7 linked regions of the Callithrix jacchus genome follow. The protein of the gene in region 3 interacts with the protein of the main gene of each other region in a pairwise test. Links are inferred from orthologs where the notes say so. Each region holds a gene or a part of one and is shown on either strand. Other genes may lie near its edges.

Region 1 (3,713 bases), on a different chromosome or scaffold from region 3:
CATACCTGACAAAAAAATGAGCCACAGTACACAAATGAAAAAGTTTTGGGTATACAGTTATAAAATGAGGAGAGGCCTTAAGAAAGTCATCAACACACAAGGGCTTTGCAGATTACCCCCAATCAGAACATGAACAGAACTTGCACCTACCCTGTGAACTCTAAGTGTTTATTATCCAGATTTTACTCTATGTCTCTTGTAACACAATTTAACCCACTGTGAATTGGAAACCATGTAGTGACAAATTGTTATAATGGGGTTCTAATGAATATTAGAGATTAGCAGCTATAAGTCTAGCAACAGATAAAGTTACTGAGTAAAATGCTTAGTTTGTACCTGAAGTATATCCAGGACCGCGTCTGCCGTGCCCCCTATTTCTGTAAGGTCTACTACCTCGACCCATTCCTTGACCATCATCAGTCACATAGCCTTTTTCCTTATCTGTACGATTTGGTGGTGGTCTAGAACTAGCTCCAATCTGTCGCAACTGCTCATCAATTTGTAATCTCTCCAAACGCAACTGGTCTACTTCCTATTTAAAATATACAAGATAACAGTAAAAATAATTTGACATTTTACTTAATAAAACCTTTCTCCTTTTCATCAGATAAAAATATACTGGAAATATTTCAATTTCAGCTCTAAATTTACAGTAAATACTGTTACATAGAATTATCAGGAAACTGAATGATCTCCTTAAAAAGAAAATTACTAGAGATAACAGATTATTGATGTCCAGAATTAAAGATATAACAAAAACACTCAGCATTAAAATTATACTGAATAAAATTTAAAGCTGTCTAATTTAGCAATATTATCCAATTATTCTACTGCTAAGGCACAGATATGCTCTTTTGGGGACTTCTTCATGATAGGATATTAAACAATGCTAAAATGTATGAATACAGATAAATGACATTTAAGGTTCAACCAGCTAACCTTAAAAATCACACGTTGTAAATAATCTTAATTAAAGTAGATTTGTCAGTTAATATCTAAATTTACAAAGCATTGAGTCTGGGCCATCTTTTGTTTTAAAAGAACATATACTATGGTTAAGGAACAATTATTTTCACAAACTGAAAATGTTGACTGTTCCTTATGAAGGGAAAACAAAACTATTTAATAGCTGACCAGACAGCTAGGTCTCACATCATGCCTTGAAAACTTAAAGACTACAATTCTGCTACAACAAGTACAAGCCACAGTATACATTCAGTTGATAGAAATATACACCTAGGGTCCACTGACAGACCCTTACACACAGTGCTTCCTGTATGTTGGGTTCTGTTAAACCCAGGTGAAACCTCACTTCTAACCACTGTCCTTCGAATCCACTCAGAAACATCTCATTTACTGGCTACAGGGAATCAGATACATAACTATTGTAGCAGTAGGTGTCTCAGTGAAGCAGAGGTTATTACAGAGACTGTCTATATGAACAGTCAATGGAGAAGTCCCTGTAAAACTAAGTTTCTAAAATCTTGATTGTGGCAGCTTCTGGAAAAGAAAGGTCAGGTAAGTATTTGGTGAGTTTCACCTGCGCTCTGCCATCATTAGCAACTTACACAGTTACACCAAAATCTGTTTTACACAGAATTTGAGCAAAGGAGAGACTGCAGCTGAGTGACTTCCTCCAAAGGTATAGTAATAGCTCATGGAATGGGGATATCTTGCAAAAGAGAACAAGTAGTCCAGGTTATCCCACTGGGGCAAAGCAGTCACCTTTTGGTGAGAGATGCCAGGCCCAATCAAGGGAAGTTATGGTGATGTAAAGAATGGCAACAGGGCAGCTGCTGATAACCAAAGAAGATATTCTTGAGAATAAATCAAAGGATCTAAGAAAGAACATTAGTCAAAATAATAAGGGATTTGATACAGTGCAATCCTAACTCTCCAGGTCTTCAAAATGATTTAAGCTAAGAATGTGAAGAAACACTAAAGATTACACATAAGCATACTGTAAAAAAAAAAAATCAAAGAGGTATTCCTACCAATGTAAACCTTGCTGGATGAAACCTTCCCACTTTTAATTAACTGGCCACCATAAGAATGAATGACATGCCCAATATCACAGTTTTTCTTCCTTTCATGCTTATTTATACACAAGCAGAAATCAGTTTTTCTTTCTTTCAAGAAATCAGCAAAAAAATTCCTAACGCCATAAATAAGAGTTGATTGCTTTTAAAGACATTTAATACCAGCTACATTATCATTTTGATATGTATGGATACAAATAAAACACTATAAAAACGAAGTAGATCAGTTTCCATTTCATTAAATTATAGAACATTTTGGCCAAAAGGAATTTCAAGAAGCATCTAGTGTAGGGAGGTGACTTGCCTAAAGTCACACAGCTAGTTCATTGGCTGAAGACTTATAAGCAAATTGCTGGATTGCCAATCCAGTGCTTTCTCCACTACACCCTGTAGCTTCCTGGATCCTATCTTCCAGTTTGAAATTTAAAGGAGGCATAACTGCCTAACTCTAAAATGACCATTTATGAGAAGCACAAACAGTTTGTATTTTGAAGAATAGCAAAGAGAAAAATAGAGAGGGTAAACATTTAAACAAAGGACTTCATGAAACGCTTAGCTTTCCTTGATAAATGACACAAAAGGAATAATAAAGGCAAGAGTTACAGACACAAATTTTGGCCTGGAAAAACCAAAATGCTAGAAAGGATCAAACTGATTAAAAGATTATGTACAGGACTGCGTAAATGGGTTTAAGAGAAGAATAAGGGTAAGTATAAAATTTTACTGAGAACTGCTATATAGGTCCTTAAATTTGTAGTGACTTCCATTTTTAGAAAAATTATAAACTAAACAACATATTTTCTCTATTATCTTTGACAAGTCAGTGTTTTGCACAGGCGAGAATGAATCCTAACTGCTAAAAGATCTACTATAAAGTTTGTATATTTTAGTACAAAAGGATTAGAAGTTGTTCTTTCTGTTCTCACCTTTAAATAGTTCAGGTGATAATCCAAAAGAACAGTGGCATTAGCGATGCTGTCCTTTGTTCCCACAAAAACAAATGGTACCATACCCTGAAAAAGAAATTGCAATGATGATCCTAAAAATTAATGATAGATTAAATCTGAAAAATGTAAATAATGACTAATTCCCTAGCACAGGATCTGGTGAACAGTAGGTATACAAATGTTTGCTGAAAATATAAATCAATATATGAAAACAAAAGTAGTTGATATACTACTTTATACATCTACTGTGAATAAGAAAAGATTAATAGCAACCTCTTAAAAGTATCAGATTACATTTTGAAGATTAGTATTCAGTAACAGCAAAATTTAAAAATGTATAATTCAAAACTATAGAAGCTTAACATGAGATATATAGACAAAATGAACAGTGTAAGACGCTCTAATTCATTTACTAAATGCTTTATCATGATCAAAGTCTTTTTTTTTTTTTTTGAGATAGGGTCTTACTGTGTCATCCAGGCTGGAGTGCAGTGGCACAATAACAGCTCCCTGCAGCCTTGACCTCCCCAGGCCCTAGGTGTTCCTCCCACCTCAGCCTCCTGAATAGCTGGGACTACAGATGAATGCCACCATACCCTGCTAATTTTTGTACTTTTTGTAGAGACGGGGTTTTACCATATTGCCCAGGCTGGTCTAGAACTCCTGGGCTCAGGTGATCTGCCTGCCTTGGTCTCCCAAAGTGCTGGGATTACAGGCGTGAGTCACC
Region 2 (4,225 bases), on a different chromosome or scaffold from region 3:
GGGTTTGTTCTCTTGTTCTAGTCCCAAAATGGCCTGGGTAAACCCCAGGAGGGCTGGCCACGCATGGCAGAGGATGTGGGCCATGCGAGACCCTGGCAGAGTTCCCGCTGGTCTCTGTCTCAGTCTCTCTCTGCCCTTAGGGTTTGCACCCCACCCCAGCTTCCCTGAGTGAGCCTTCCATGGGCCCAACTGGCCCTAGAGCCAGGACAGGTGTATGGGGAGTAGGGGGGCACGGTTGGCTCCCCAGAGAGCGAGTGTGAGTGGTGGGGCTGCAGGGGTGGGTCCTCCCCAAAGGAGAGGGGCCAGGGAGCCTGTCATAACCAGCCCCAGGCGAGGGCAGAGGTTTGGAAATGGCTTCTTCCGGGGACAGCTGCTCCAGCAGGGCTTCCTGTGTGACGGCAGTGCGGGGCTCAGGCCCAGCTCTCACCCCGACAACCACTTCCTCTTCTCTTTGCTTCTATCGGCCCTTTTAAGGTAACAACTTGGGGCCCATCTCCCCTTCCTGTCTCACCCCCCAAAGAGCACAGGAGTGTGCTGGGGGTGCAGGGCAGCAGGCAGCCGGTGGAAGGGACAGCAGGCTTCAGGGGAGGGCAGGGCTGGGGGAGGGGAGAGCGCCTCTTGCATCCTCTCTGCCTGTGAGCTGGGGGCCAGAGTTTCGAGGTCCTCAGGCAGGCCCAGAGCCAGAGTCCCTCCCAACCCTGAAAATGCTGCCGGGCCCCCAGACCCCATCCCAGCCTTCTCGGTGTTTCCATGGGGAGAAAGCCCCAGGCTGAGGCTCGGGAGGGTGGGTTGTGGGTGTGCAGGACTGTCTGCAGTCCTGGGCAGTGGTGTGACCCATCTTGTGTTGGCTCCTTCTGAGCGTCAGTTTCCACACAGCCACTGCACAGAGGTGCTGGAGGAAGCATGAGGCTCCTGGGGCCCAGCTCAGTTTTCCAGATGGCAACACAGGCCCCAGAAGACTTGGTGACAGTCACCTAATCAGGACCTCCACAGAGCCATGGTCAGGTGGAGAAGCTGCTCCCCACAGGGCCCCAGGGGCTCACCTTGGCCAGGGGCAGCACCAGGAAGGCCCCTCCCCCACTGGCCTCACAGATCAGGGCCACGAACTTAGGGTTGACGGCACAGAAACCACTGTCCCAGGTGGTCTGTGAGACGCGAACATCCTCATAGCACTGGTCGGCCTTGGCTGGCTGTCCAAACACGTGGCGGAACTTGCTGGAACGGACTACCTGCCGGCTCATTCTGGGGGCACACAGATTAAGAGCGTTTCTCCCTTCAGGTCAACTCTGATCTTCCAATGGCCTCCACCTCCCCTAGGACACCCCTCAGTCTGGCTTTTGAGGTCCCAGCATCATCTCCAGAGGCTCCCTACTGTGGCTGATGCCTGCTCCCCTTTGCCAGCCTCTCCTCCTGTCTAACCTGCAAGCTCCTTTCTCCTTGGCCCCCGGCCACTCTGAGCCACCTTCTCACTCTGTACCCTTAGCCTCTGCAGCAGAGCCCGGCGTGGTGTTGCCCCCACTGCATGTTTGCTGACTGACTGACTGACTGGCTGACGGATGCAGAGCCCATCCTTCCTAATGGTTCAGACTCAGGCGTCATCAGCCCAGATGGCTCTGAGGGTGGGTTCTCTCTTAGTTACCGTGTCCAGAGCCCACCTCCCTCACACCCACACAGAGTGCCTCCTAAAGGCAGGGGCAGGGGCTGGCTTCCCTTGCCTGCTGGCACAGGGCTGGATACAGGAGGAAGTGGCGTGGGGGCTGCTGGAGCAAAGTGAGGCGGCAGGATGGCTTCCCCAGCAGGTCTCTGGGCACCAGAAGCCATCAGTGGCTCAGGTCCCAGTATCTCCTCCTCCCCATACCTCTGCCTCTCGCCTCCGCTCAGAAAAGCAGGTGCCCTTAAGAGCCATCTCCACCCCCTTGTGAACTACACACAGGAAGGGAGAGGCCACCCCGACTTCTCTGATGTCCAGCTAGGATGATTTCCCCCGTGTCTGGGTGGGGAGCCAGGAACTCCAGGGGCGACCCTGTGCCAACCGCATCACCTTCTTGCTCAGGGAAGGGATCTTTGCTGCCGCTCAGAGGATGCCATGCCCAGAGCTTCTGCCCCTAGCCTCAGTTTCGCCTGCTCACTGGGGGCTCTAGCACCCCCAGCCACCCCAGGATTCCCGAGGAGGCTGCTAGGTCGGCCTGCTGAGAGAGCGGTGAGGAGCATAAGTGAAGAGCCCTAGTCTTGAGGAGCAGCCTGGGTCTAGAGAGAGGGGAGCCCCGGACCAGAGGTGGGGGGCAGGAAGCCATCGCCCCACCCTGCCTCCTCCCCCGCCACAGGTACCAGGCCCGGAAACCACGGAAAGGGGAACTTGGGCTTTTCTTGTTTTGCTCTCAACCTCTTCCTGTCTCCAAGGCTAGGGCAGCTGCCCCACTCACCCTACCCTGCCCCCATCCCCACCCTCCTCGAGACTCAATTGCGGGGGGAGTCGGGGCCTCGCCACTGTGCTGACCCCCGGCCACCCACCTCCATCTTGGCCACGGTGGTCCCTCGCCCTCGCCTCCACAGAGCGATCTGGAGCCCCGGCAGCCCCCACTCCAGGCAGCGTCCCCCCGCGTGCTGCTGCGCCCGCTCCCTGGCCCCGGCGCCGGCCGGGTTGCTGTGACAGCCGCGCGCCCCCGCAGCCCGCGGCTCCCACGCGCGCGCCGCCCCACAGGTGGCCCTCGCCGCGGCCCACCCGCGCCTCCCAGGCCCAGCCTCACCTGCTGCCAAGAGAGGACAGTGACCCCCAGAAGCCGGAGGTGGAGGAGGAGAAGGAGGAAGGAGCTGGAGGAGCCGGGGACTCGCCCGCTGAGGATGCTCTTGTCAAGACAATGAATGAGAAGCAGCCGTGCGCCCGCCTCCGGGGTGGCCGCGCCCCTTGGGGCGGAGCTCTTTCAGGCCCGCCCTGCGTTCCCCCGGTCCCCGCGGCGGCCACCTCCCTCCCCGGCCCCCAGCCCGCGCCCTACGCGGGTCCCCAACAGAAGCATAGGCTACCGGTCCGCCGCCGGGAAGTGAATCTGCACTTCTTTTTAACATGTCAAAACGCAAAAATACCCCGTTGCTTCTTTCCTTCCTGCGTCCGCCCCCAGCCTCCTCTCCAGCCTTTCCCTGGCAGGCACGAAAGCGCCCCAGGCCAGCCCTCCAGGCCTAGGTGTCCGGCCCGGCCCGGCTGCGCCGCCGCCGCCTCCCAGCCCTGCAGACGCGAGCTCTGGGGGCGCAGGGAGGGCGGGCGAGAAGGAGCCCCGGGCGCGCCCCTGGACCTAGGGGACCTGGCTCTTGCCTGGCTCTAAAATCTACGCATAGGTGGCCCCGGGAGTCGCTTCGCCTCCCTGGCTCTCCTGTCTTCATTGGGGGCACCCCTGCCCTCCTGCTGAAATAATTGGGCATCACGGGCACCTACTTTGTGCCAGGGACTATAGAGGCGAGCAAGCCAGGCAGGCTTCCGCCCCTGAAGAGCCAGCCTGGGAGAAGGAGGAAGAGCCCACAGCCGCTCCTAGCCCAGACTTCCATCGGGCTCGAGGGCAAGGAGGGGTAGTTCCCACCCTTGGAATCAGAGGGGCTCCTGGAGGCAGCAACAGAGGGCAGAAAAGGTCCGCTCTAGAGTCAGACTCTGTCGTGAGTGTGACCGCAATCTGTCACCTGTTGACTGACGTGGGGCTGCTACTTAGCTTTTCTCAGCCTTAGTTTCTCCCTCTGTAACACTCATACCTGCCACATAAGAGGTATGGGGATGATTACCTAAAATAACTCAAGGAAGGTAGTAAGCACCTCATCTAGAAAATGGCAGGTGCTTAATAAATGTTAGTTCTGGGGCAGTCACTGTGGCTCATGCCTGTAATCCCAGCACTTTGGAAGCCAAGGCTGGCCGATCCCCTGAGGTCAGGAGTTTGAGACTGGCCTGGCCAACACGGTGAAATTGCATCTCTACTAAAAATACAAATATTAGCCTGTTGTGGTGGCACATGCCTGTAATCCTAGCTACTCAGGAGGCTGAGGCATGAGAATAGCTTGAACACAGGAGGCAGAGGCTGCAGTGAGCCAAGATCGCACCACTACACTCCAGACTTGAGAAAGAGCAAGACTCTGTCTCATTAAAATAGAAAAGAAAAGGTTAACTCTCATCATTCTTGTTTAAAGTATCTGGGCTGGGCCTGAAAGGATGAGGAAGAGCCAACAGGTAAGGCTAGAGGGGTGTCCT
Region 3 (4,052 bases):
ATTGGCTGGGCACGGTGGTTCATGCCTGTAATCCCAGCACTTTGGGAGGCCAAGGTGAGTGGATCACCTGAGGTCAGGAGTTCGAGAACAGCCTGAACAACATGGAGAAACCCAATCTTTACTAAAAATGCAAAATTAGTTGGGCATGGTGGTGCACGCCTGTAATCCAGCTACTTGGAAGGCTGAGGCAGGAGAATTGCTTCTGGGAGGCGGAGTTGAGCTGAGATTGCGCCATTGTACTCCAGCCTGGGCAACAAGAATGAAACTCCAACTCAAAAAAAAAAAAAAAAAAAAAAAAAAAAAAAAAAATACAAGTATCTGTGAACCAAGAAACAGGCCCTTCCTTTCCAGACACCGAATCTGCTGGTGCTTTAATCTTGGATTTTCCAGCCTCCAGAACTATCAGAAATAAATGTCTGTTGTTCATAAGCCACCCAGTCTATGGTATTCCGTCCTAGCAGCCTGAATGGGCTAAGACATATATTAATATATATACAGAGGAGACTTTTTTCTTTTTTTGAGACTGAGTCTCACTGTTTCACTCAGGCTGGAGTGCTGTGGCACAATCTCGGTCACTGTAACCTATGCCTCCTGGGTTCAAGCAATTCTTGTGCCTCATCCTCCTTAGTAGTTGGAAGTATAGGGCATGCAGCATGCCTGGATAATTTGTGTGTGTGTGTGTGTGCGTGTGTTTTTAGTAGAGACAGAGTTTGGGCATATTGGCCAGGCTGGTCTCGAACTCCTGACCTCAAGTGATCTTCCCACCTCAGCTTCCAACAGTGCTGGGATTACAGGTGTGAGCCACTGCACCGGGCCACTCACTACACTTTCATAATTAGAAAGATTAGTTTCCTCTTGAAAAAACAAATAGATTAGAAAACTAGTAGAAGTGGTTACAAAGTATAAAAGAGATAGTAAAATGATACAATGTGAGGAGTATACAAGAAAGATATTTAAAACAGACTTTTTGTTTGTTTGTTTGAAACAGAGTCTTACTCTGCTGCCCAGGCTGCAGTGCAGTGGCACAATCTCGGCTCACTGCAGACTCCGCCTCCTAGGCTCCAGAGATTCTCCTGCTTGTTGTTTGCCCTTGGGGATAACAGAAAGCACAAAATATAATTCTCAGTTGACACTGTACATTTCCCAGGCAGAGACGAGGGCGGTCTTGGTCCTTATTGTATGAACAGATCCAACTCCACCCTGACATGGAAACTGGATTTCCTGATATCTCCTTAAACAGGCCTTCAGTAGCCAGGTAGTCATGTTGAGCCTGAGTTTTGGTGTATCTTAAGTTAGTCTGGGCCTCTGTTTCCTTAACTCTAAAGTTGTTGAGAAATGTTAAGTTTATGAATATTGATGTTGAGAAATGTTAAGTTTATGAATATTGATGAATGCCGAGTGTATGACAGAATATATCGTTTGCTAGGAAGAACGATGGCAAGGAAAACCAGCACACAGCCCCACCCCCCCCCCCCCCCCCGCCAAGTAGAAAACTACTTGGGGCATTCCAAAGTGGCAGGACAATGTATAAATATCACAAACCGGTTACAGTTCTTTAAGAACCTGCCCCCGTGGCTCCCTCACGGAGAATACTTTTTAGGTTGTGATCAGTTGTAAGCGGGCACCAGATGTCTACTTGGCGTGTTTTGTGTTATGAGAAAACACATAACACCTGTTTGTTAATAGTGATCACCTGTTCAGGGAGAATAAATGCATGGGTCAGAGTCTACTTGGGGCCTTCAGTCCGGAATGCTGTCCGGCCCCTGAGGCTCTCAGTTCAGAAGCCTATTGGCCACTGCCCTCCCCGCCTCTCACCCCCATAAGCCCACTTTGCTGTTCTATCTGGGTGTCTGCCTCTCAGTTCCTTCAGCGCCGCCTGGATGGGGGTCTCTATGGCCGAGCTGGTACTTGGTATAAAGTGAAGAGTTGGAATGAAGATTGTATTTAAACACCCTGGCTGGAAGCTGTGGTGCCCTGAATTCTCCCTCTTACTCCATCGTCTCAATACTGGCACACAGCCGACACTCAATAAAAGTAAATTTGTGGCTTCTGTCCAGTACTTGGCACTTAGAAGCCCTCAATAAATGACTATCAAGTTTATTTCATCTTCCCAGCACATTTGTGACAGTCTTGAGGGCGGGAACCATGTACTCAATAGGGCCCTGATGACAGAAGAGGAAATCGGCTTGGTCCCTATTCGTAGAAGTTCATAGGTTAGTGTGGGAGGCTAAGATAATAACTCGCCCATTTAAAGATATTTTTCCAAAGTCCGCATGTATTGGGTGGAAAAGGTGAGGCAAGCGTTGTATTTCCCAGACTCCCGACCAGGTTGCGAAATGATTGACGTCCGAGGGAGACCACCTCACCTTTTCATTGGTTGTAGCTGACCCTCCCTTCTATCACCTAACCATTCCCGACGGACGCCTCACTTAAGCCCCGCCTCCGGCTGCCAGCCAATCAGAAGTGCCGAGGACCGGGTCGCTGCCGGGACACTGACGCGGTTTCGATTCCAGCGAAAAATGCCTCAGCTCGGACTGTCTCGTGACAGGGGGTGCGAGGAGGACAGTCCCGCGCCCGCTGAGCCCTAGAGCCGCTGCCGCCGACTGTCATGGAGGACGAGCAGCCTGACAGCCTGGAGGGCTGGGTGCCGGTCCGAGAGGGCCTCTTCGCCGAGCCCGAGCGGCACCGGTTGCGCTTCCTGGTGGCCTGGAACGGCGCGGAGGGCAAGTTCGCTGTGACTTGTCACGACCGCACCGCGCAGCGGCGGTGGCGACGCGAGGGGGCCCAGCCCGAGCCCGAGCCCGAGCCCGAGCCCGAGGCCGCCATGTCCCCCCCAAGCTGGGCCGGCCTACTTTCGGCCGCGGGGTTCCGCGGCGCGCACCGGCAACTGGCGGCGCTATGGCCGCCTCTAGAGCGCTGCTTCCCGCGGCTGCCACCGGAGCTGGACGTAGGTGGCGGCGGCGGGGCCTGGGGCCTGGGTCTTGGGTTGTGGGCGCTGCTGTGGCCGGCGCGCGCGGGGCCCGGAGAGGCGGCGCTGCGGGAGTTGTGTGGACGGCTGGAGCGCTACCTGGGCGAGGCGGCAGACGGCTGCGGTGGCGCCACCGTGCGCGACGCGCTCTTCCCGGCTGAGGGCGGCGCGGCAGACTGCGAGAGCCTGCGCGAGTTCCGGGAACGGGCCCTGCGCGCGCGGTGGACCGAAGCGGACGCGCGGCTGCGCCAGGTAAGTGAGGTCGGGCCCAGTCTGCGCTGCCTAGGCTTGGGACCTTGTGGGAAGCTCCCCGGGCGCCCAGAGCCCGGGCTGCCAGCTGACGAGGAGGAGCCGGAGGGTGGAGAAGGCCGCGGGCTCCGCGGTGCTCTCACCTTCGCGGGACCGCTGTGCGAAACGGGCGGGAGCTCCGGGAGGGCCTGCAGAGAGGACGGACAAAGTTAGAGCCTAGTGTACTTGCAGCTCGGAGCTGGGCTAGGCTCCCAACCTTTGTCCTGGAGATGCTGGCAGAACAGGGTGTTGTAACGGGAAATGCCAGAAATATTGCAAGCAAAACTGTAAACAACCCATCCACGTAGGAAAGAATAACACGGACTAAATGTAAGCGTTCCAAGTCTGTATATGAGGGAATGTCACAAACGGGATAAAATGGTTTAACGGAAGAAATGGCTGTTAAGAGATAAGGTGTTTTGTTTTGTTTAAGTGATAAAGACTTGGCTGAGGGAAAGTGAAAGTGAACTTTAGTCATCAGTTTGGAATAACTGCAGGAGTGCTGCTTGAACGAGGTAGTTTGAGAAGGAGTTATTGAGTGGTACACCTAGCGAACCTAAGGGGAGGGGGAAGTACAAGTTCATAGAAGGGTTTAGGAGAAAATATGCCTTCTAAATCCACGCCCACAGTTTACTAAGGAGAGCCAGGCTGGTGTGCAGTGGGACAATCTTGGCTTACTGCTGTTATTAACCTGAATGATTTTTTTTTGTTCATTAAGGAAGGGGAGGTGAAGAGAAGAGTTCAGCTACATTTCAAAATCTTAATTATATCCTGCTAAATATAGAATAAGCTTTCT
Region 4 (4,347 bases), on a different chromosome or scaffold from region 3:
CCAGCACTTTGGGAGGCCGAGCGGGTGGATCACCTGAGATCGGGAGTTCAAGACCAGCCTGGCCAACATGGCGAAAGCCTGTCTCTACTAAAAATACAAAAATTAGGAGAGTGGTGGCGCGTGCCTGTAATCCCAGCTACTTGGGAGGCCGAGACAGGAGATCACTTGACCCAGGAGGCGGAGGTTGGAGTGAGCCGAGATTGCCCCTCTGCACTCCCGCCTGGGCGACAGCGTGAGACTTGATCCGGCCACCCAGGGGCTGTTATGCCTTGAACATCCAGTGTGTGCCTGATATGGCAGGGCTTTCTGGATAGCAGAAAGCCCAGGCCCAGCAGATGGAGACTCCAAAGCTCAGAGAGGGCGTCTGGCTTACTGGAGGTCACACAGCACTGCGAAGGCCATCTGATCTCTTCCCTGTGGAATCAGGTCAGCCCCAGGGCCCACCAGGCAGTCTCAAACCCTATGCTTCCAGGGACCCAAATAGAAGTTTCTGGGGCCTTCCTGGAAAGCTGGTTCCAGTGCTTTTGACTGTCGGGGTCTCAGTGTGCCCATCTTGAGAATGGGCACGACAGCCGGACCTCACGAGGAAGCACATATGGTCTTTAGCACACAGGGAGTACCCCGAAAGTTTGGATAGTTTCAAAATCGAGATTCCCCTTTCTACTTGGAGGAAGTCCAGGGTCCCTCCAGGATGGGCAAACTGCAGTCAGGAGAGGGCCCCCAGGCTGAAACGTGGGCCTCAGCGTGGCCTGACTTCCTCCAGACTCCCAGGTCTGCTGCGCCCCTCCAGAGCAGGGCACGTGGGAATCTGCATCCTTACACCAGGAGAGAGACCTGGTGCCCACCTCAGCCTTGCCCCTTCCTCAGTGCTGTGGATACTAACCCTGAGGAAATCCCTGACCTCTCTGGGCTTAAGCTTCTTTCTTTTGTTTTCTTTTTTTTTTTTTCTGAGACGGATTCTCACTCTTGTTACCCAGGCTGGAGTGCAATGGCGCGATCTCGGCTCACCGCAACCTCCGCCTCCTGGGTTCAATCAATTCTCCTGCCTCAGCCTCCCGAGTAGCTGGGATTACAGGCACGCACCACTGTGCCCAGCTAATTTTGTATTTTTAGTAGAGACGGGGTTTCACCTTGTTGACCAGGATGGGCTCGATCTCTTGACCTCGTGATCCACCCGCCTCGGCCTCCCAAAGTGCTGGGATTATAAGGGTGAGCCACCGCCCGGCCTGGGCTTACATTTCTTTAAGAGGACTCAATAGTTCCCTCGCCTTAGACCAGCTACATGGCAAACTCTTCAGAAAGGTCAGATTTCTGAAAGGAGAAGCACCTTGGAGAACGTGATGGGCGCTGGGAACCCTTTCTCCAAAACTGGCCAAAGACAGACATAACCAGGTTACAAAATGTGTTTTGGGGTTGGGGGGATGGTGAGTCCAGGCTCTAAGCTGGTTGGCGCAAGGTCTTTTATCCAGCGGGGGGTGGGGGGGGGCTTGGGGGAGACTGGGGAGGAGGGAGGGACTCTGAAGTCACACAGGTGGGTCTTTGGGCAAATTATTTAACTTTTTTGTGCCTCGGTTTCCTCCTCTACAAACTGGGGCTGTTTAAAGAAAGGAATTCAGTATTTGTCAAGCGATTCGGTCGGAGCCTAGCACACGTTATTTTCCCAATCTGCCGTCCGTGCAGAACAAGGGGGCTCACCCTCTCGGGCGCAGGGACCCCGACCCGCCCCTCACCTGTGGTACTGAGCTTGCAGGAGCTGAAACTCGTCTTTGATGCGGTCGCAGGAGTCCGAGGTGGTGAATTTGAGTTGCTGGGGTAGGTGCGAGGAGCCCTGTGGGGAGGGGGGCGCCCCGGTCAGGCCCAGGCGTGGGCCAGGCCCCCCTCAAGGGCGGGCCAGGAGGGAGCGGCCGCGCAGCTGCGGCGCCCCCCCTCCTGCCCCACTTCCTGGGCCCGTGTTTACCGCCCCTGGCAAGGCCCCCACCCGCGCTTCCTGCCCCCGCCTCTCCCCGGGGGAAGCTGAGGGGGTGGGTGCGCCCGGAGCCGCCCCGTCCCCCGCCACCCCCAGGCAGTGGGGGGTGCGTTTTAAGGCCCGCCCTAGGTGGGGGGCAGGGTACGCCCTCTACCGCCCCTCCAAAGCGCCGGGAGTGGGTGCCTCCGAGGGGGGTGGAAACGCGCCCTAGGGAGCCCCCTCCCCAAGTTGAGGGGCAGCGAGTCCCCCCTGCAAAGTCCCCTTGGGGAAGGGGGTCTCTCTCGGCGCCCTAAATCTTCCGGGGGGGAGCCCACCCCAGAATCCCAGCGCCCTTCCTCGGGGACGCGCTCTCTTCCGGGAGGGGGGACGCCTCGGATTGTCCCCCCCACCACAGGCCCCCAAAGGAGCCCCGCGCTGGAGGTGCCTGGCGGGGCTCCCGGAGATCCCCAGGCCCGAGGCCAAGGCCGTCCGAGGCCCTGCCTGTCCCGGCGGGCGGGGGGGGGGGCGCCAAGCCGGGAGCTGGGGGGGGGTTCGGGGCCCGGAAGCTGGGGGAGAATCGGGAACTGAGGGGGTGTCCGGGGGTCGGCGGCAGGACGGGGGTCGCGCGGGGCTCGGAGCCCGAGAGGGAAGCCAGGGCCCGGGAGCTGGGGGGGCGCGGGGCGGGGGCGCGGGGAGGGGGCGCCGGGCGGGCGGGCCCCGCTTACCGAATGCCTGCTTTGTGGAAACATCATGTCAGTCGCGGCGGGGGGCGCGGGCTGCGCCCCGGCTGTGCGCCCCGGCTCGGGCTGCTCGGGGCGCCGGGCGGCCGCGCCTTTGTCCCGGCGCGGATCGGCAGCTCCCGGGGCCGCCGCCGCCGCCTCCCGCGCCCGGCCTCGCCCGCTTCCTGCGCCCCCTCCCCGCGCGCCCGGCCCCGGCGCGCCCCGGGCCCCGCTTCCTGCGCGCCCGGCGCCCCTCCCCGCCCCTCCCCGCCGCCCGCCTCCCCGCTCCCCGGCCCCACCGCTATTGTCTAATGGCGGCGACGCCGGCGGTGGCCGCGGCTCGGCTGCTGCGGAGGCTCCGGCTCCACCTGCCGCCGCCGCCCGTGCCCCGTGCGCGCCGCCGAGGGGGGGGACGCGCGCGCCCGGGGAGGCCTGCGGATCCCCACCCCGGCCCGCCTCCCCGGGGCCCGCCCGCCGCGGTGACCTTGGGCCCGGCGCGCCCCCGCCCCGGGCCGCGGCCCCCGCCACCCGCCCCAGCCTGGCGGCCGGCCTGGCCTCGGTTTCCCCATCTGTCAGAGAAAGGGACCCGGCTGCCCAGGTCGAAGCCGCCGGCCCTGCGGTGGCACGACCTGGACGCGTGCCAGGGACGTATTCTGTGACCTTGGCTCTGGCTGGGCGGTGGTTCTCGCCGGGCCTCAGTTTCCTCTTCTGCAGAAAGGCAGCGGTCATGCCGCCTTCCTCAGGGAAGCCATTCTTTGGACACCTTTATGGAGGGCCTGTGTGCCAGGCCCGGCTGCTCCAGGGCCCTGGGGTGGGTGGGGGGGGTACAAGGCCCCTGCCCTGGTGAGGTGCCTGGAGACAGACAGAGATAAATTCAGGAGCTGAATTCCCAGCAGGTCAGATGGTGGGGACGCCTCTGCGGGGAAAATCGGCTGGGACAATGGCGGGGTAGGAAGGTGCAAGGTTGAACAGAGGGCAGGGAGGGTCAGAGAGGGCTTCCTCCTCCACAAACGGACCCCAAGGAGCGAGAACAGGGGATGGGGGCAGTGCCAGTCAGAGGCAGGACGAGCAGGTGCAAAGGCCCTGGGGCAGGACTGTGCCTGGCACCAGGATGCCCGGGATGGAGGCAGGGCCTGGGCCTGGGGCTTCATGCTGTTGCCCAGGCCCCCTGCCCCCAGCAGGGCTTCTGCCTGGGTGAATCTTTACTGCTGCGTTTTGAAATTCCGAATCATTTTCGAACAAGGGGCCTTTCAGTTTTCTTTTGTACTGTGCCCTGCAACTCTGTAGCTGGTGACACAGGCCAGTTCCAAAAGGGCTTGTGGGCCTCGGGGAGTACAGGGCTCTTGCTCTGAGTGAGGTGGGAGCCCTGGAGGGCTGTGGAAGGAAGAGGGACAGGACCTGGTGGTTTTTTTTTTTTTTTTTTTTTTTTTTTTTTTGAGATGGAGTCTTGCTCTGTCACTCAGGCTGGAGTGCAGTGGCACGATCTTGGCTCACTGCAGCCTCTGCCTCCTGGGTTCAAGCGATTCTCCTGCCTCAGCCTCCTGGGTAGCTGGGACTACAGGCACCCACCACCACGCCCACCTAATTTTTATATTTTTAGTAGAGATGGGGTTTCACATGTTGGCCACGGTGGTCTCGAACTCCTGACGTCAGGTGATCCTCCCGCCTCCTCCTCCTCCCAGA
Region 5 (4,402 bases), on a different chromosome or scaffold from region 3:
AAATCAGAAGTGAAAACTAAGAAAACTTGGACATAAGTATCTGCCATTAGTCATCACAGTGAGGGTGTCTTCTCATCATGTAGCCTCTGGAAAGCTGCACTACCTGCCTGAGAATGAGTGTGAAAGGCAAACAGTGTTAGGAAAATAGGCTTGACACCACGGCACCCCCCGGAAAGGGAGTCAGGACCCCTAGGGCTCCCTGGACCACATGGTGAGAACCACTTTTCCACCCAGCCATCCCTTCACGGGGTCCCTGGCTGTTCCACCCAGAGCTCCTGCTGTGCCTGTGCCAGGCTGCTGCCAAGCCCTGAAGATCTGGGTCCTGCTCTGCCAGGGCAGGGTCCTCCTCCTCACCCCTTGGGTCGCTGTGTCTCAGAGCCATCCTTTTCCTTTCTGCTGTGATTGCCTTCATCACTGCTGTGCCGTCTCTTCTTCCCCAGATGCTTCTGCATCTCCCGCAGAGGGTCCAGGCGGCTCTTTATTTTCTCATCTGGGGCTGGGCCAGGCGGGGGACCCCCTCGCTCTGGTGGGAGCTGGTACCAAGGGGGTTGAGTCTGGGCCTCGGCTGCACTCTGGCCCAGGTATGTCAGGATGCCCAGAGCTTTCTCTTGTCTCTCCTGAGGGGTCAGGAAATAAAAGAGATGGGATATAATCTTTCAGGGTGTCAGGTTTATCTCCCTGACACAGGTATCTAAGGCCTATGGTGAAGCAGCTGTGCCAGGTGCTGGGGAGGGAAGAGACCAGCAGAGGCCAAGCTCCTGCCCTGGGGTGACGATAGCAGGGACAGTCACAGAAAGCAGAGGAAGGAGGGGATGGGGTGGAGCTGCCTGAATGTTCAGAGGCAGGCATCTTTGCAGGGAGCAAGCAAAGCAAGAGGACCCGTGGGTGGGGTCAGCAAGTCCAGAGACAGCAGGTGAGGAACAGGAGCTTTTACACTCGATCTTAGCCAAAAGGCAAGAAGTGATTGATTCACTTTTTTTTTTTTTTTTTTCCTGAGATTGAGTCTCACTCTTGCCACCCAGGCTAGAGTGCTGTGGCACGATCTCAGCTCACTGCAGCTTCCACCTCCTGGGTTCAAGCGATTCTCCTGCCTCAGCCTCTGGGACTAAAGGTGCATGCCACCATGCTCAGCTAACTTTTTTTGTATTTTTAGTAGAGATACCATGTTGACCAGGCTGGTCTTGAACTCCTGACCGCGGGTGATCTGCCCACCTCAGTTTCCCAAAATGCTGGGATTACAGGCATGAGCCACCACCAAGCTGATTTAGATTTTTAAAAGCTCATCAGGTTTGAGACCCCTCCAGTTTGGAGACCTGAGCAGTTCACCTAGCAGCTGGGGATCTCGAGCATCTACCTCCAAGCCCTGAGGGCACCCAAATGGCAACAGCCACCACTTCTGAGTGTGCTTTGGTATGGTTCTAAATTCTGAGTGTTCACTCTTGTTTAGCCTTAGTCACAACCAATGGCTAAAGTGTCCCTCCCCCCAGCTCCATTCATGTCTCTGATGAAGTAGATAAGGCCAGCTTACTTTCTCCTGTCGCTTTTCTTCCTCGTGCTCTTTATTGCCTCTGATCAGGCCTTTCCCCTCCTCCAGCAGCTCTCGAAACAGGTCCACAGGGCCAGAACTTGGGGCTCCCACCTCTGCTGCCTCAAGCTCAGGCAGTGAGTTCTGATGTCTGGCTTTCTTCCGTAGGAATTCTGTACGGGCCTGGGGAGAAAGTTACAGGCAAGACATTAAAAACCTAAAGGTAATTCAAGAACTTTTAAGTCTGGTGCGCACCACAGGAAACAGCAGTCCAGGGTGCTGGGTTTGTAAGAAAGGGGGCACCTGTCCTAGCAGGGGTGAGGGTAGGCAGATAAGGCAACACCTGGGTTTTGTAAACTGCCTTTCAAATAGTAAACCACACATCAAGGATGGCTGGGAGGAGGTCCCTGGCCTAAACCAAAGGGGTTCCTAACCTCAAGTGAGACAATTAAAACAGCTATAAAGGTAGAACAAACTGCATTAGGTCAGATGATCTGGATTCCAGGCATGGCTCCAAGTCATTACCCCAAGTCCATTGATGAAGCCCGGTCTCCCACCTTCAGGACAAAGCTCTCAGCAGCCTACTGAGATTCTAAAAACCCAGACTACCTCCCTCCCAGTGTGGAGGATCAGACTGGCTAAGGAACTGAAAGTTAGGTGTACACCAAACAGATTTAAGGAGCTATACATAAAGCCCATGTTTGTGTGTGTGTCTGGGGGTGGTGCAGGGAAAGGGCTCGCCCAAGGGGGTGGAGACTTCCCCTCCCTTGACGCCATCTCACTTCGTGCCACGGAGATGACAATGCCTCTTTAAGAAAGAACGGTGCTTAAGGGGGATTCTGGAAGTCAGGCGTTCTGCATGCAGTTAGCATACAGTAACTGCTCAATAAATAGACTGTGCAAGCCAACTAGAAAGTGATCCGAATTTCCTCAAACTGTCCAAGGAATCCTGAATTCGGTAAACATTTATGCTTCTCTTTTGTGCTAGACACTGCTCTAGCCATGTGAAATACATCAGTGGGGGGAAACAAGACGAGGGGGCGATCAAGGGAGATTTCATGCAAGTGGGCACAACGTTTGCCGAGCAACGTTTCGGAAAAGAGGTCCGCGCCGGGTCACGAATTACATACGGGGCACACGGCGCCTGCGCAACGCGTCCACTTCCGGCCCCCTACCATGGCGCCTGCGCGCTGGGCCCCGGAGTTCCGCCCGGCCGGTTCCCAGGCTTACCTCCTGCTGAGCCAGCAGCACCCTCCGCTCACGCTCCTTCTCTTCCTCCCGGGCCTGGGCCTCGTCACGCCGCACGCGGGCAACATTGTCCTTGTTCCGGACGTGCCAGCTCTTCTTGGGCAAGATATTCATGGCGTCGTAGCAGTCCACGGACTGGCACGCCCGCCTCTCTGCACTTCCGATTGGCGAGAGAATGCCCCTTCCCTCTTGTCCCTACTTCGACCACAGATTGGTTCTTAACTCATTGGTACGGCCCCCTGGCCTGTAACGACAGGTGATTGGCTAAGACGCCCTTTATCTCAGCGAATGCCAGGCTTTTGGCGCGTGGTATCCCCTAGCAACCGCTTTTCACATATCCGAGCCAATCGCAAGTTGGCCCTCCCCTAATGCCAGATTCGGCCGCCGATTGGCCAACACAACCATCAAGTCTCCTTGCGGAAGAGCACTTCGAACGGCCACACATTCCCATGCATTTGATTGGCTCCCGCCCTGATGTAGCCCTGCCCCCACCTTCAGGACGCAGATTTCAAAGCGCGCTCAGTCACCTCGGCTGTGTTTATTCATAGAAGAAAGATCACCCGAGAGTCTGGGACGTGGCGGCGAGGGTCTCTGGAAACCTCCAGATCCTAGAGCTGGAAGAGCGTGGGGTCTTCTCTAGTTCTCCTAGTTTTACAGATGTGACCTAGGCTTACAATTGGCCTGGAGTCTGAAGGTGGGACATGGGCTGCAGGGGTCAAAAAGCCGGGTGGGTGGAGCTCAGCGCCACAGCGCGCCGTGCGAGGAAGACTTTGTTCTGCGCCTCCTGAGGCAAAGAGAGGTGGAGGTCAGACAGCCCTCTCCCCCAATGCCTTTCAATGTCCCCCACGGGGTCCCTCTCAGGGACCCGCCTGGCTCACCGTCTCTCTCTGACGTTTGAGCTGAGAGATGAGACGACCGTAGGAGTTAGCCAGAGCCACAGTGTACGCCATCAGGATGCTGGAGGAGACACGAACAGAAGCCACTCCTGACACGCTCCTCCATTCTATACAAACCCCTGGCTCCTTCAAAGCCAGGATGTCATCTACAAGGACTTCAGTCTCCCAGCCCAGGAGTCCTAAGTCCCACCCTCCTCCTCCTCCTCCTTTGGACCCTAGGCCTCCTCCCACCCCGAGCCTCTCCTCTCTCCGACGCAGGTGGTGGCCCCCAGATCACGTGCATTCAAACCCAGACCCAGAAGTCTGGGCAAACTCACCTGGAAATCAGCAGAAGGGGTACAGCAAAAGCCTGAGTCCCCAGGAAGAAGAGGAAGTTCTGGGCGGTCTCAGGGAGGCTGGAAATAGACTCAGGGATCTGGGCCCAGATGGACGACTGCCCCCGGAATGGACCACATAGCTTAGAAGGTGGGATCCTGAAGTCAAGATAGGCTGGGCTCACGTAGAGCCAGGAGTCTGAACGCTGAACGCAGGGAGAGGGAGGGAAAGAGGCAGGAGCCTCTCGCACTTACAGGAAGATGCTGTAAAGCAGAGGAACGCTGGAGATGGCCAGACCCAGGAGAAGGACCAGGGGGAAAAAGAAATTCGCTGTGGAGGCCCGGAACGTGCGGGCAGCCGGAGAGCAGGTGAAGAAGAGGGTGAGCTGGCAGGGGAAGGCACAGAGGAAGGGGATCTG
Region 6 (3,713 bases), on a different chromosome or scaffold from region 3:
TTCAGCTGGGAGTTCAAGACCAGCCTGGGCAGTGTAGGAAAATCCCATCTCTACAACAACAAAAACACAAAAAACAAAAATAAGCCATTTTATTCTAGCCAGGCACACACCTGCAGTCCCAGCTACCTGGGAGGCTGAGGCGGGAGGCTGGCCTGAGCCTCAGGTGGATATCGACATGCAAACCTCACACCATATATGAAAAGTAACTTGGAATTGATCAGAGACCTGCCTGGAAAACCTAAACTATAAAACTTCTAGAACAACACGTAGGAGAGAATCTATGTGACCTTGGGCTTGGCAAAGATTTCTTAAACCGAACATAAAAAGCATAAAATACGAAAGAAAAATCAATAAACTGGACTTCATTAAATTAAACAGTTTTGCTCATAAAAGACGTTACTATGAAAGTGGAAGCCATGAAGGGGGGACCATATCTGCAACACCTGTGCCCAAAAGGACTCACACCTGGGTAAAGAACTCTCGCAACTTCCCAAGGAGAAGATAAGCAACCCGTTTTTTCTTTAAAGATGGGCAAAAGGTTGGGACAGCCACTGTCCTGGGCCCCAGCCTCCCAGCCTGGCCATCCTCCCTCCACTCCGTGACCACCCAGACGTGCCCTCCCCACGGCTGCCAGCCTTCCCCCGGGGCTCACCCGCTGCCCCCCCACCGGCCATACCATTGAGGTAGTAGCCCCTCCTGGTCCTGTCCGCGGTGGGCAGGCTGCTCTCCGAGAAGCACACCTTCTTAGTCCGGACCACCTCCCTGGGCTCCAGCAAGCTCTTGTCCACCAGTGAGTCTTGCAAGGGGCTCAGGAGTGGGGACAACTTCCTGTCAGTGCCTCGGTGGCTGTGCAGCTCCGAGGGACTGAAGAAGGCCTTGAAGTATGCCTGGGAAGGGGCTGCACAGCCTGGGGAGGCGTCGTCTTCACTGGGCAGGGGGGCATGTGAGCACAGCAGGTCCTCCAGGCAGGGCATCTGCAACTGGGAGGGTGTGTCAGCGACACTGGTGAACCTTCCAAAATCTGGAACTGGAGCAGGGAGGAAAGGGGTGAGGCGTCAGGTCAAGTGCCTAAAACATCCTCCAGAGTGCAAAGAACATGTTAACAAACCCTGTGTGCCCAACCCCAAGCTTCAGCACCTGCTGGGGTGTCCCTGGCTTCAGAGCATCCTCCTGCCCCTCTGGACCTCGAGTGAAAAAGGAGATGCTAGATGTAGTGAAGTGGCCGTGGGAGCCTGCCATGCCCACGGGAGCGCTGTTTATGGTGCCCACCATACCCACGGGAGTGCTGTCTGTTTATGGTGCCCACCATGCCCACGGGAGCGGTTTATGGTGCCCACCATGCCCATGGGAGTGCTGTCTGTTTATGGTGCCCACCATACCCACGGGAGTGCTGTCTGTTTATGGTGCCCGCCATGCCCACGGGAGTGCTGTCTGTTTGTGGTGCCCACCATGCCCATGGGAGCGCTGTTTATGGTGCCCACCATGCCCATGGGAGTACTGTTTATGGTGCCCACCATGCCCATGGGAGCGCTGCATGTTTATGGTGCCCGCCATGCCCACGGGAGCGCTTTGTCTGTTTATGGTGCCTGCCATGCCCATGGAAGGGCTGTTTATGGTGCCCACCATGCCCGTGGGAACGCTGCATCTGTTTATGGTGCCCGCCATGCCCACGGGAGTGCTGCATCTGTTTATGGTGCCCGCCATGCCCATGGGAGTGCTGCATCTGTTTATGGTGCCCACCATGCCCGTGGGAACGCTGCATCTGTTTATGGTGCCCGCCATGCCCATGGGAGTGCTGCATCTGTTTATGGTGCCCGCCATGCCCATGGGAGTGCTGCATCTGTTTATGGTGCCCGCCATGCCCACGGGAGTGCTGCGTCTGTTTATGGTGCCTGCCTTGCCCATGGGAGTGCTGCATCTGTTTATGGTGCCCGCCATGCCCATGGGAGTGCTGCATCTGTTTATGGTGCCCGCCATGCCCACGGGAGTGCTGCGTCTGTTTATGGACACAGCAAGCGGGCAGGCCTCCGCGTGCTTCCTCCCGCCCTGTGCACCCACACACACTGGAGAATGACTTTTATATGCATTTTAAATTTTACATAAATGGTGACACCCTACACATTTTATTCTGCAACAGAACTTTTTGCTGCTGCATTCTGTCTCTAAGATTTATCCACGTTGAGCCATCTGGTAGCTCCCAGTTCATTTAACTGTTTCCTGGCACCTCTGTACACATGGACACACACACAGTGGCTTTTTACCCTTGCCCTGTCGATGGGCACAGGCTGTTCCCACATTTCCTTGCAAACGCACAGCTCCCAGGATGAGCCTTCTCCCTCCGTGAGCATCCTCTGTGGTCCAGCGCTGGGCTCAGCCTCCTCCCTCCGTGAGCGTCCCCTGTGGTCCTGCGCTGGGCTCAGCCTCCTCCCTCCGTGAGCGTCCCCTGTGGTCCTGCGCTGGGCTCAGCCTCCTCCCTCCGTGAGCGTCCCCTGTGGTCCAGCGCTGGGCTCAGCCTCCTCCCTCCGTGAGCCTCCCCTGTGGTCCAGTGCTGGGCTCAGCCTCCTCCCTCCGTGAGCCTCCCCTGTGATCCAGCGCTGGGCTCAGCCTCCTCGCTCCATGAGCCTCCCCTGTGGTCCAGCGCTGGGCTCAGCCTCCTCCCTCCGTGAGCCTCCCCTGTGATCCAGCGCTGGGCTCAGCCTCCTCCCTCCGTGAGCGTCCCCTGTGGTCCTGCGCTGGGCTAATGTTTAACTTTCTTTGCTTTCCACGATGAGGGGGAGGTTCCATGCCCACCAACTGCTCCCGGCCCCACAGCCTCATGAAGACTCGGTATTCCCTAACCAGGCTGATGAGGTCATGTGGCATTTCCCTAATCCCTGGTCAAATTTATCAATGCCTTTGTGGCTTATGAAATTCTATTCTACCTCCATGTCGTGAGTATTCTCCTAGCAACAAAGCAAATACATATTTGAGAAACGCTGTGAAGAGCTATATCAAAACGTCATGTGCCTACAAAGGAACCAACCAATCTTCCCTCAGAAATGTTTTCCAAGGAAAAAAAGTGTTCAAAAGAAGCAAAGTCATCAGTGTGTGCCCTGCCTCCTGCCACGGGGGAGGCCTGGTCAGTCCTCGGGGCTGCACCAGCTCCCACCCCAGGTATTTTCAAATTATAAAAGAGCATCATGTACAATTCTGTATTAATTAAAATTGCAGTAAAAGGACGTATCTTCTGGAAAGTTACTTTTTTTTTCTTTTTTTAAATTGCATCTTAGGTTTTGGGGTACATGTGAAGAACATGCAAGATAGTTGCATAGGTACACACATGTGGCACATATACACTATGGAATATTACGCAGCAATCAAAAATGATGAGTTCGTGTCCTTTGTAGGGACATGGATGAACCTGGAAAGTTACTTTTAAGTAACTCAATAATAGATAGAAAACCTAAATGAACCAACACACAAAGAAGGAAAGTCTCAAAGTCAGGAAATTATTATTCCCCAAAAAGGGCTGCAGGCCTGGGTGTTCTGTTCGTGAGTGTGCCAAGTTCCCAACAAGTCATAATCCCAACATCATACAAATGAAGCTGGAACCACAGAACGCTTAAAGCATGCTCAATTAGGTTTCAAAATTTGTCACAATTCTAACGTCAAATTCCTACAAAGATAACCCCTAGGAAAAATACCATAGATGGGCCAGAAATAGCTGCATCAAG
Region 7 (4,316 bases), on a different chromosome or scaffold from region 3:
TCTTTATCCAGAGGAGGAAACTGAGGTACAGAGATTAATAGCACAGTGCCAGAGCTATTATAAGAAAGGACTGGTCAGGAGTTGAAGAGAGACTGGATGTGAGGAAGGTAACTGACCGTCACAGTGTCCTGTGGGATTTTTACTAAATGATAAACCACCCTGTATAGTTCTTCAACTGATCCAGCCATGCAGGGGTAGGATTCATTTGGATCTGGCCATAGCAGCTTTCCAGGGGCCAATCCCACTTCAGCCTAAAGCACCCCATAGGTTATCATTTAATCCGCAGCGGGACTAAGCCTTAGACCAGAAATTCCTCCCTAATGGGCTCCCTGGAATGGTTCCCACATAGCTGGGGGTCCTTTACTGACAATGCTGCCTGCCCTGATGCTTGATGTAACTCAGCCATATCTTCTGCAGTTGGGAGAGATGGGGAATGACATTTTGTGTTTGAACCCAGCAGGTCAGGCTCCTGAAGAGGTCAGGTAGGCTGTAGAGAGGACAACTGGTGATTACTGTTTATTACATGACACTAAGTCCCCAACACACGAAATCTGGGGTTCCCCAAAACAGACGGTGTTCTTCCACATGCTCCTCAAGGATGGAAAATGCCCTCCAGTGGAAATGCCTTTCCACTCTGCTTCTGCTGGATTTTCCTCCAAGATTTCCTCTAACTGTGGACTGCCAGCTCCTCCCTGATGTCTTCAGGCACCACCCAACCTCTGTTCTTGCTGCAATCCACAAGGCTCCTATCAACATCTTGACTTTCCCTCCAGTTTTCTTCCATTTTCTCCCCCTATGTTGACTGCGGTCTCCTTTCCCGCCTTTCTCCTTCATCTTGCCCTACAAAGCCGCACCTGAACCACAAGTGCCAGAGAGTTTGATCATTTACCTAATGTCAACAAAAGAAAAAAAAAGTAAGCTCTAGAGCCGGCTTGGCCTGAAGCACTCAAGCACAGTTAACAAGTGGGGCCAGGGCACCCTCCTACCCTCCACCTCGCAAGGAACTCAGAACTCTGAAACGGGGAAAGGGCCAGGCCTGCTGATTTAATCTATGTCCCGCAGTCTCCAAGAGGTCACAGACTGCAGATCCCAGTCTCCTGAAGTAAGAGAGGAGAGGACTACCGCAGTTGGAGGACAGCGCGAGGGCCAAGCGGCCCAAGATGCGCAGGCCACGCAGCCTCACGGACAAGTGGCCCTGGAGAGCCTCCAGGCACCCGGGTGGGGCCGCGATCGCGCTCTCAGTCACCCTAGCCTGTGGGCGCGGCAGGGCGGCGCGGGCGGGCCGGCTGCCGGAGCTGTTTGGCGTCTTGGCCTGAGTGTTTGCCCAGCCCGCCTGCGTCGCTCGGGGCGGCTCGGCCTTTCCCTCCCTCCCTTTGCCGACGGCTTCTGGCAATCAAGTGGATGTGGCGGGCGATCGGGCCACCTAGCCCAGGCGCGCCCAGCACTGGTAGGTGCTGGGGGTGGTGAGAGGCTTTGGGGAGAGAGTGCATGGGGTGGGAGTTGGGGGAAGGGAATTTCCTCCGGGCTTGCAGGGGTACCTGGGAGGTGCACGGCCCAGAGCGGGCGGGCGGAAGACTCACCCCGCCTCCACCCCTCCACGGCGCGCGGGGCGGGCTCAGGTGCGGGGCTGGGCGCCTAGCGCGGCCGCGGAGTGTCCGGTGTCCGGTGTCCGGTGTCTGGAGTCTGGAGCCGCTGGCTGGGTGAGTGGCGGTCCCCGGGGCCCGGGGACTTGCAGGGGATAGCGGGGTGAGTTCCGAGGGGGAGGGTCTAGCCCGGGCTCAGGAGACTTTTGGGGAAGTTCTGGGATCTGGCGAGGACTCGCGGCTCGTGCTTCCACCCGCGTGGAGTGCAGGCCGGGAGACGATCCGGGCTGGCCTGGAGTTTCTAGACTCCTAGCAGGAGCACAGCCCCGTCCTTCGCCCGGAGATCTTCCAAGAGGGAAGTCCTGGGAAGCGGTGGCAGCCGGCTCAGCACCCCTGCAGCGCGTTCCCTGCGTGCCGGCACCCAGGGGCGCCCCCACGTGGGGTCGGGGCGCGCGCGGAGGCACGTGCAGCGCAGCCTCCCTGGGCCTCAGACCTAGACATGGTGCCCAGTGGGCTCAACCAAGGGCGCCCCTGCCCACTGCTGGACTCGGGGGTCACGCGGGCCCCGGGAGGAGCCACAGTTTGTAGATTTTCTGAGTTGTCTCTCGCTTCCCTGGACGCTTAGAGAAGCAGCAAGCATGGAACCTCCCCTTTTCAGACAGGTGCTCCTCATTGCTGAAAGAGGCTTTTGTTTGATTGCTGTTTTAATAGAAACAACGACTTGGGTACCATTATTGTTAAATAGTGAATAAATAAGTGTAAAGTATACAGGGGCATAGATTTGGCATGAGTGGAATTTTCTAGGTATACTAAATCTGTGTGTACAGTAAACTCAAATTTCTGAAGAATAGTATATACTTGCAAAACTTGCCAAATTTCTGTCATCTCTAGTAATTTGTTTCATGGTCCAAAAACAGCCCTTGTGCTGGTAGATGCATAAGATAAAGTTTGAATAAGAAAGTAAAGTTGGACCACAGAGCTGGCTGTTTTAAAGGAATTAGAATTCAGACTGTGTTGTTAATGTATAGTTACACTGTCGGTACTACAATACTTTGTTATTTTTTATTTTATTAGGTCGGTGCAAAAGTGCGTTTTTTCATTATTGTTTTGTTTTTGTTTGTTCGTTTTTGAGACGGAGACTTGCGCTTTTTAGCTCAGTCTGGAATGCAATGGTGTGATCTTGACTCACTGCAGCCTCCGCGTCCCAGGTCCAGGTTCAAGCAATTCTCCTGCCTCAGCCTCCCAAGTAGCTGGGATTACAGGCACGTGCCACCATGCCTGGCTAATTTTTGTATTTTTAGTAGAGATGGGGCCAGCTGGTCTTGAATTCCAGACTTTGTGATCCGCCTGCCTCAGTCTCCCAAAGTGTTGGGATTACAGGCGTGAGCCACTGTGCCCGGCTGTAAATTGCAGTTTTTATGGCCAAGAAAAACAGTAACTTTTTTTTTTGCCATAAAAACTGCAATATTTTTGCACAGACCTAATATTTTTGAGACAGGGTCTCGTTCTGTCACCCAGGCTGCAGTGCAGTGTATGATCTCAGCTCACTGCAGCCTCAAACTCTGCAGCTCAAGCAATCCTCCCACTTCTGTCTCCCAAGTAGCTGGGACTATAGGTGCAGGCCACCACACCTGGCTAATTTTTATATTTTGTGTAGAGACAGGGTTTTGCCATGTTACCCAAGCTGGTCTCAAACTCCTGAGCTCAAGCAATCCACCCACCTCCACCTCCCGAAGTGTTGGGATTACAGGTGGAGCCACTGTGCCCGGCTTACTCTTTTTATGATTTAGGCTGTATCTTAGGCCTTTTAAAATTTTTATTTGTTTAGGCATCAGAGTTATCCAAAAGACAGTTGTATTAACACTGTGAAGGTGTGAGAATCAGGCCAAATCTATGGTAGCGTGGAAAACAGCTGATTCTCTCACCCTTTAGCAATTGGTGTTCAGAATAAATAGCAGGTGTGGGCTTGTTGCTTATCTTTCTCTTAAGAATGGTTTTGTGTTAGCTAGCTTTTCCTTTATTGGATCTTGAAAAACTGGAGGTTTGCTGCACTTGATATTTTATGGGAAAGTCCTTTGAATTTGAATCAGTATCAGCAATGATTATTTGTCCTTGTCAGAGAGTGAAAGTGGGAAAACCCGGTTAGTTAATTTCCTCATTTCTATTTCTTCTACCCTGGCTCTACCAGGCTCTTTCACTTCACAGTAGATTATGTCACATAAACCACATATTATGAGGAGTCACAGACTGAACTGGCCCTCATTTCACAGATGAGGAAACTGAGTCCCAAGAAGGTGAGGTGGCAGCCTAGAGTCACACTGCTCATTAGAGGCAGAGCTGGGAATTGAGGCTGAATTCCCTCTGGGTGTCTTGGATGCACTGTGCTGAGCTTGAGTTGGGGTCTGAGAAAGGCTTGGGGTGGGGGTTAGGGGATGGGAATTTAGGGGTGAGAGGGAGAGGTAATTTACACCAGCACCATTCAGCAGCTGCAGAATAACCACATCGTCAACAGCCTGACCACAGATAGTTGTCGGCTAGATCCCCCAAGTATTCTTGGAGGCACAAGGAAGCCAGTGTCTTTCCTTCAAGATGAACTAGTTAACTTGAATGTTAGAAAACCACATTTGCTATAAAAGCCAACACAACATAAAATGGAAATAACATGAGCATTTCATCACAGAGGTGCCGTGAACCTCCTTGCACAGGTGAGAGGCTGTGCTGTTTGCGCTGTTC

Evidence for each region.
Region 1: the proteins of FSD2 (region 3) and FMR1 interact in binary tests that used the Homo sapiens proteins (3 or more experiments, as listed by UniProt). The link is inferred for Callithrix jacchus from reciprocal best matches to the Homo sapiens genes FSD2 and FMR1.
Region 2: the proteins of FSD2 (region 3) and CORO1A interact in binary tests that used the Homo sapiens proteins (3 or more experiments, as listed by UniProt). The two-hybrid records come from large-scale screens. The link is inferred for Callithrix jacchus from reciprocal best matches to the Homo sapiens genes FSD2 and CORO1A.
Region 4: the proteins of FSD2 (region 3) and TLE5 interact in binary tests that used the Homo sapiens proteins (3 or more experiments, as listed by UniProt). The two-hybrid records come from large-scale screens. The link is inferred for Callithrix jacchus from reciprocal best matches to the Homo sapiens genes FSD2 and TLE5.
Region 5: the proteins of FSD2 (region 3) and LENG1 interact in binary tests that used the Homo sapiens proteins (3 or more experiments, as listed by UniProt). The two-hybrid records come from large-scale screens. The link is inferred for Callithrix jacchus from reciprocal best matches to the Homo sapiens genes FSD2 and LENG1.
Region 6: the proteins of FSD2 (region 3) and SPATC1L interact in binary tests that used the Homo sapiens proteins (3 or more experiments, as listed by UniProt). The two-hybrid records come from large-scale screens. The link is inferred for Callithrix jacchus from reciprocal best matches to the Homo sapiens genes FSD2 and SPATC1L.
Region 7: the proteins of FSD2 (region 3) and SH2D4A interact in binary tests that used the Homo sapiens proteins (3 or more experiments, as listed by UniProt). The two-hybrid records come from large-scale screens. The link is inferred for Callithrix jacchus from reciprocal best matches to the Homo sapiens genes FSD2 and SH2D4A.

What each region holds. Positions count from the first base shown.
Region 1 is NC_133524.1:144,510,916-144,514,628, reverse strand, and holds part of FMR1 (fragile X messenger ribonucleoprotein 1), read right to left. Parts: intron 3,053-3,713; coding exon 2,966-3,052; intron 533-2,965; coding exon 337-532; intron 1-336.
Region 2 is NC_133513.1:29,353,507-29,357,731, forward strand, and holds the start of CORO1A (coronin-1A), read right to left. Parts: upstream 2,865-4,225; 5' UTR 2,748-2,864; exon of another isoform or gene 2,054-2,747; intron 1,620-2,053; exon of another isoform or gene 1,243-1,619; 5' UTR 1,242-1,242; coding exon 1,044-1,241; exon of another isoform or gene 1-1,043. UniProt on the Homo sapiens protein: May be a crucial component of the cytoskeleton of highly motile cells, functioning both in the invagination of large pieces of plasma membrane, as well as in forming protrusions of the plasma membrane involved in cell locomotion.
Region 3 is NC_133507.1:24,078,530-24,082,581, forward strand, and holds the start of FSD2 (fibronectin type III and SPRY domain-containing protein 2), read right to left. Parts: upstream 2,609-4,052; 5' UTR 2,367-2,608; intron 1-2,366. Other genes in the region: WHAMM (WASP homolog-associated protein with actin, membranes and microtubules), read left to right, coding at 2,609-3,220.
Region 4 is NC_133523.1:2,836,587-2,840,933, forward strand, and holds the start of TLE5 (TLE family member 5), read right to left. Parts: upstream 2,698-4,347; coding exon 2,671-2,697; exon of another isoform or gene 2,670-2,670; intron 1,829-2,669; coding exon 1,731-1,828; intron 1-1,730. Other genes in the region: uncharacterized protein LOC128930549, read left to right, coding at 2,696-3,511. UniProt on the Homo sapiens protein: Transcriptional corepressor. Acts as a dominant repressor towards other family members. Inhibits NF-kappa-B-regulated gene expression. May be required for the initiation and maintenance of the differentiated state.
Region 5 is NC_133523.1:47,340,361-47,344,762, forward strand, and holds the start of LENG1 (leukocyte receptor cluster member 1), read right to left. Parts: upstream 2,911-4,402; 5' UTR 2,888-2,910; coding exon 2,756-2,887; intron 1,709-2,755; coding exon 1,529-1,708; intron 618-1,528; coding exon 355-617; intron 1-354. Other genes in the region: voltage-gated chloride channel TMC4, read right to left, coding at 3,489-3,557, 3,652-3,730, 3,987-4,142, 4,239-4,369.
Region 6 is NC_133522.1:51,762,432-51,766,144, forward strand, and holds part of SPATC1L (speriolin-like protein), read right to left. Parts: intron 1,028-3,713; coding exon 677-1,027; intron 1-676.
Region 7 is NC_133514.1:22,193,640-22,197,955, reverse strand, and holds the start of SH2D4A (SH2 domain-containing protein 4A), read left to right. Parts: upstream 1-1,304; 5' UTR 1,305-1,447; intron 1,448-1,606; exon of another isoform or gene 1,607-1,700; intron 1,701-4,316. UniProt on the Homo sapiens protein: Inhibits estrogen-induced cell proliferation by competing with PLCG for binding to ESR1, blocking the effect of estrogen on PLCG and repressing estrogen-induced proliferation. May play a role in T-cell development and function.